2 linked regions of the Saccharomyces cerevisiae S288C genome follow. Changing the gene in region 1 together with any one later gene gives a genetic interaction. Each region holds a gene or a part of one and is shown in the gene's direction. Other genes may lie near its edges.

Evidence for each region. A genetic interaction does not mean that the proteins touch.
Region 2: mutations in RSO55 (region 1) and RRT8 together harm fitness more than expected from each alone (negative genetic interaction), as found in Saccharomyces cerevisiae (one large-scale study listed by BioGRID).

The regions. Positions count from the first base shown.
Region 1 is NC_001144.5:703,905-706,999, reverse strand, and holds RSO55 (Rso55p), read left to right. Parts: upstream 1-2,039; coding exon 2,040-2,507; downstream 2,508-3,095. Other genes in the region: ECI1 (dodecenoyl-CoA isomerase), read left to right, coding at 1-802; PUT7 (Put7p), read right to left, coding at 870-1,814; YLR278C (uncharacterized protein), read left to right, coding at 2,976-3,095.
Region 2 is NC_001147.6:239,704-243,461, reverse strand, and holds RRT8 (Rrt8p), read left to right. Parts: upstream 1-2,151; coding exon 2,152-2,436; intron 2,437-2,514; coding exon 2,515-3,258; downstream 3,259-3,758. Other genes in the region: LDS2 (Lds2p), read left to right, coding at 715-957, 1,021-1,848; GSH2 (glutathione synthase), read right to left, coding at 3,368-3,758. UniProt on the Saccharomyces cerevisiae protein: Involved in spore wall assembly. May be involved in the modulation of rDNA transcription.

The DNA.
Region 1 (3,095 bases):
TATTGAAGGACCATTCTTCATTATTCACTTAATGAACCCTGACAATTTGAATGCACTAGAAGGTGAAGACTATATTTATTTAGGAGAGTTACTAGAACTAGCGGACAGAAATCGTGATGTATATTTTACAATTATACAAAGCAGTGGTAGATTTTTTTCCAGTGGTGCTGATTTCAAGGGTATTGCAAAAGCCCAAGGGGATGATACCAATAAATATCCTTCGGAAACAAGCAAGTGGGTGTCAAATTTTGTCGCTAGAAATGTTTATGTCACTGATGCCTTCATCAAGCATTCCAAAGTTTTAATTTGCTGTTTGAATGGACCAGCAATAGGGTTGAGCGCGGCACTGGTAGCGTTATGTGACATTGTGTACAGTATAAATGACAAGGTTTATTTGCTATACCCCTTTGCTAACTTAGGACTAATTACCGAAGGTGGTACAACGGTCTCTTTGCCATTGAAGTTTGGCACAAATACGACGTATGAATGCCTCATGTTCAACAAACCATTCAAGTACGATATAATGTGCGAGAACGGATTTATAAGCAAGAATTTTAACATGCCATCTTCAAACGCTGAAGCGTTCAATGCAAAGGTCTTAGAAGAATTGAGGGAGAAAGTGAAAGGGCTATACCTGCCCAGTTGCTTAGGGATGAAAAAATTGCTGAAATCGAACCACATCGATGCATTCAATAAGGCTAACTCAGTGGAAGTAAATGAATCTCTCAAGTATTGGGTAGATGGAGAGCCCTTAAAAAGATTTAGGCAGCTGGGCTCGAAACAAAGGAAGCATCGTTTATGACGTCCGCTTTCTCAGTGAAACAAAACGCACACACAATATACTTATGTACAGACAATATGTATGCTAATTAATCTATATCATGTTGATCTTGAGGGAAGGTAGTATCAATGTCTTCCTTTGGTGCTAAAATTTCAGGTTCCTCAGGTTCCTGTAAACCTGGGCGTTCCTTCTTAGATGCGCTTACACCGATCATAATCGAACAAACAAGGACTAATATTACCAAAAGACCGCTTCTGGTTGTCTGCCATCTTAAATTTTCGATATGTGACCTGATATCCCCCAGTATCTTGGTTTGAATCTTGTTAGAACAGTCGTTCAATTTCAGGTTTAATTGTCGATACAAAAGGGTGTTTTCTAATTTTTGATTGTTAAATTCTAATTTAGCGTCCTTTTGCAAAAGATCTATTATGATTTCATTCAGTTCATCATGGATTGAGTTAAGTTCTCTCTTGAGTTTTAATAATTGCAAGTGGTGCTCATTTAGTTGCGTGTCTCTAGAGTTTTGAATTGCGAATTTCAATTCTGTTTCTAGCGAGCTGAACAAATGTGATTGTTTATTCAGCTCCATATCCCTTAAGAACAAATCATTGTAACAGGAATAAAACTGATCATTTAGTAGTTGCAACAATAGAGCTATGATAATTTTACATTGTTCATCGGAAAAATTGCCTCTTTCACGAAGCATTTGATAAAACTTTATAGTATCCAATTGATTTTGTGAAGTAGTAGGTTTCAATCCATTGCCCTGAGTAATAAAGTCCTCTGAAAATCTGTCTAACAGGCCAATGGAGTGCTTTCCTTCGTTTTCCTTCTCTGGCTTCTCCTGCTTCTCCTTGTTCTTGGATAATGGCGATGAGGATAGGTCTGATAACTGGATATTTTTCAATGACATTGATTTCTGCAAAAGTGGTTTTGAATACGAACTAAAGCACCGCAAACACAACAACGAGCCTTGCCGCCGTATTCTAGTTTTGAAGCATCGAAGCGGCAATGTACGTATTAACCGCATCATTAGTCTATTAGATGTTCAGAGTTTACATGTATACATAAACCTCTTCCATTCTTCCTTTATCGATAAAATTACTATACACTTAACTAAACTGTGCATTTTCCCCGGACTACCATAGCGCGCTATACGTTCCTAGAACGGATATGAGTTTATATATAAGTCTATGCTACCAACCTACAAGCTATGCGACCCTGGAAAAAGCGCAGAAGAATCCGAGACTAGTAAACTATGATGAGGGGAGCGAGTAAGAGGTCAATCAGCAGTGCCGCAGTGCTGCTGATTAAAAAGAACAAGCTACCACCGCGACCAAAGTTCACGCCAGAGATGGAAGCACAATGCACTGAGAAATTCCTTCATGGCGGCAGAGGGCCCGGTGGCCAAAAGATTAATAAGTGTAATTCTAAGGTACAACTACGGCATGAACCCACTGGGATCGTTGTCGAGTGCCAAGAAACGCGGTCACGTGAGCAAAATCGAAAGCTTGCCCGGCTTAAGCTCGCGCGCGAACTTGCGGCGTCGTACGACACGATGCCGTCCAGAGAGGAGGCGCTTCTACAGTGGCACCGTCAACAGAAACGCTCGCAGCGCCGGCGCAGCGTCGCGAAGTACGAGCAGCGTGAAGAGGCCGCTCGAGTCGAAAAAGAGGAACGCGAGGCCCGAGACAGAGAAATGGTGCGCGAGTTATTCCGCCGGTAACCGCAGGTGAAATTAGATGGAGGAGAAAAGAAAAAAAAAAATGAAAAAAAAAGTGTAACTTTGCTAAAATTTTCACCTGCGGGTACCGTCGGTCAAGACGTGGGTTGCGAACAAAAACCCTGGAACAACAATACATTGAATAGTTCCTGCTCCTGCACACTGCACGTTGAGACCTGAATCGCATCGTGTGGTGCTTATACGCTAATCTTTGTTAGCGGACATACTTTTTCTTTTTCTTTTCGCCTTTTCTTAGTATCTTTCTTGGATTCTTAACTATTTTGCTTTTTTTAGTCATTCATTATATATGGTTCTTTAGATCGGTCGTTCCATTAACATTTTTTTTTTTTTTTTTTTACACGTCAATAGTATAACTTACTCCCCACCATTTTTCCACTCTTTCATAAAGACAAGTGTATTTCACGTACTCATAATCTTCGGGCTAACTACCAACAATACACGTAAATAATAATGGGCCGTCCAAGGAAGAATGTTAGCCAGGAGAAAATACAACAGTTGAAGAGAGAACTGGAGCTGGCCGGTAACAGGACAGACGTCTTGTTGCAAGACAAAAAGGGCCGTTCCAGGTCT
Region 2 (3,758 bases), on another chromosome or scaffold:
GCAGGGCAGAGGAGTAACAATAAAACGCCCTGCAAAGAAGTATGATTACTGTTCTTGCCAGACTTAGAATTCTAAGTGTTAAAAGTCACCAATAAGGAAGGAAAAAAGTTTATGATAGTTTATACTGTTGTTGTTACTACCTGCTCCGTTATGTTTCTAACAAGGAATAAAACAGGGTATAGACGTGATGTCAGCTTAAAGAGGAAAACGAAATATGTAAACTTTGTTAAAAATAAACAGGGCCCCTTATTGATCGTTCGCGATGCTATTATTTTATAAGCCAGCCTTTATCGTTTCTTTTGATCTTGTTTCTTTTTCTTGTTTTTTTTTTTAACTTCGTTCTCTTTTCACGTACTGATTACTCACACCAGGAGAAAGAAGTTGAAAAATGCTGTTATTCTCTGGAACACGCTATTAGATAGTACTTGCTGGTTCCGTAGACAAACAGCTCTTGCGCTTTATCACTTCGACAAGTGTCTTTACAGCTTCGCGATGACATATCGTCTCTTGCCCCTGCCCCACCTGTAACAATAGCTTGGCCAAAAAAGAAAAAAATGTTCCGACGAATTTTTCCGCTGATTTTGGCTGATCGCGTCGCGCCACAAAAACGAAACTTCCATAATAAAACATTATATAAAGCTTTTTATTATTATTATTATTACTTTCTTAGTTATAGCATTAGAACTATAAGAGCTGCTAAGACACCAAGCAAACATGTCGACTAGACCCCAACCTGATTGGTATTACCATAGACATCCATATGCCTCTACGCCACTGGCAGAAGGGGAGGAACCACAATTACTCCCCATCCAAGACCAAGGGAACCATAAGAAATCAAAAATTTGGATGGCATACAAGGCTCCGATAGTTCGATGGTACAAGAATGCTATGCTTGTTAAAGACAATTTTTGGAAAGACCTAGAGTCGTCGCACCAGATCATCTGGTATCCGTATAAAGTATGTTGATGTTCCAATAAGCAGATCATGTTTTTTAAGCCGTCATACTAACCGCCTTTGAAGGGAATTAGCGAATCCGTGGGAAACTCGGATTATTTGCATCTATTTTTCCTAATATTTGGATACTACCTGCTGAATCTCCTGCTTATTGTTGCGTTTACGTCAATCCTTGCGTGGTCCTTGTTAGTGTGCATCTATTTGCCCTTTCTCGGACTCTTTGCGTTACCTCTGGCTTATATGCAAACTATTCTGATTTCCACAACGCTATGTAATTCTATGGTGAAGGGTACCGATTTCGTTCTTTTCACACGTATTTATGGAGTGACGTTCGCAAGAAAGGGATTAACAGAGTTGAGTGAAGCCTGTGAAACGATAAGTTTCACGCCCTTTGTCTACAGAAGGTCACATCGTTTGGGTGGCCTCTTTTCGAAACGGTTTTACCTCGTCTCTTTGCCGCAGTTTTTCATTTTTTTCTTCTGGTACATCTTCATAGCCTTTATGTTTCTTTTATTGTTGCTCGTTCCAATAGTGGGTCCAATTACAATCAATATGCTACCATTTAGCCCCGGAATGGGATTTTACTATTTTGAGCCTTATTTTGTTGACGTGCTACATTTGGATTCGCGCAAACTTTCCAAAGTTTACTACAAGGGCTTTGCCAAGTGGCTCCTTTACTCGATATCCAGCGGTTTATTAGAGTCTATTCCCATTCTGGGTGGGTTGTTCATTGGAACAAACGCAGTAGGTGCTTCGCTTTGGATAGTTAAAGAGATAAAAGACCGGGACCAGCCAGCCGTACCTCCTTCCCCTCCTGCGGAACCAGAAGAGCCTACTGTAGGATCCTATGCACCTCCAATCCAACAATCTATAGCTCACATTAATCCGCCATGAAGCTCGCAACTCTTTTACATACCAATTTATATATTCATTATATGTTTACATATATAAATATATATATATACTATATACTATATATTACTTGCTAATAATATTCGTTTCTTTTCAACATTTGTATATGCATAAAAAATTTGGGAAATCAGGGGACTTATGAAAATCAGGGTGGTTACACTCGGAACTTCAAAACCTAAATAAAGTAAATCACTTTCAAGAAAGGTGAAGGGACGTCAAAAAAAGGAAAAAAAGGGCAAGGTATATCCCTGAGGACCCCTGGTTGGCTGTAAAGACAAACTAAGGATGAAAGCCGGAATTGAGCTTATAAGTCACAGCCAGGCTTCTCACGCCACATATGCTAATTCTATGACCCTTGCAGAAAAGGGGCCACAACGTTTAAAAAGACAATTCAAAGAACACAGTTCTTCAAAGGAAAGTAACGTAAGTCGTTGGCTAAAGATTTTCATAAGACAGTTTGATATTTGGTTTCCTGAAACGATACCAACAATGAAAGTGAGATACGAACTGCTTAGAAAAAACTTCATTAAAGAAATTTTCAACTCAAGAGCATTTATCTACCCATTCTTAGTAAGTACATGATTTTTGTTTGCATTGATATGACTTGTTTTATGACTAACATATTTAATTTTTATTTGTTAACCGTAGGGGTTTTATGAAGTGCTGACGAATCCTGTTTATTGGAAGCATATTTTACTGTTTGCGGTTTGCTATGCCCTGATTTTTGTCACTATTGCTGGTCTCTTTTATGTCACACTTGTACCGCTTTTAGTGACATGGGCCATACTGTTATTAGGGCCTCTTGGTGTGATACTGGTTCATATTCAATGGATTTTACAAACGAATGTCTTGACTGCCTTTGTTTGTAGAACACTGGTCCTGACCCATATTACGAATCAGATATTTGATATATCTTTGGTGTTGCAAGACCAAGATGAATTTCTAAACGAGGTGAAGGTATTGCCTAAACCACAAAAGCCACATAGAAAAATCGATGAACCTGATGCGGTGAGAAATTTCAACACAATAAAGGGAAGTCGGATTTTTAAGATTCCCAGATTACTATTCAGAATGTTTTTTAAAGTCTCCAATTTTACTTCACTAACATTACTGTCGCTAATTCCTATTGTAGGACCAATCTTGGCAAATCAACTAATGGCCCCAAAAAGAACCTTTACCTATTTGCAGAGGTACTTTTTACTAAAGGGATTCAGTAAGAAACAGGCCAAAGATTTTCAGTACGAGCATTACGCAAGTTTCATATGTTTCGGTATGTCTGCCGGTCTACTAGAGTTAATACCCTTCTTCACAATAGTCACCATATCTAGCAACACTGTTGGTGCAGCTAAATGGTGTACTTCGCTACTAAAGGGTGAAAGAAAGAAGGAATGAGCCTAAAACAGCAAATTTATGTAGAAGTGTGATTATATATTCCTTAACTAATTGTTAATCAAGTTCTAGCATCATCTTCCTAGCATCTATGTGTATAGTACATGTACACCTAGTAAAGAATAATACTGTCCAAACATCCGAATCCTGCCGCCACTCCACCTTCATTTGAAGTATTAAATTTGGATCTTAGTAATGAGCCACTAAATTCGTTCGATAAAACTTGCTCGTCGTTAAATAGAACGCAACCATAAATTCCTAGTTCACTGATGATTGGTTCGTTGTAAGATTTGTTATCACGTAATATAATATTATTTTCATTCAACTCTGGTTCAATCAACTCCATGAGAATATATGCATCCCAGTGACGTTCTTCGATACCTTTCAAAAAATTAGGAATATTTTCTTTATAAACATTGTTTCCGCCACCTTCCCGCTGTGGTTTTAACACGTATTTAGAGGGCTCACTTAATGCCAGCCTCTTGCCTTCCCTGCCAAGCTTC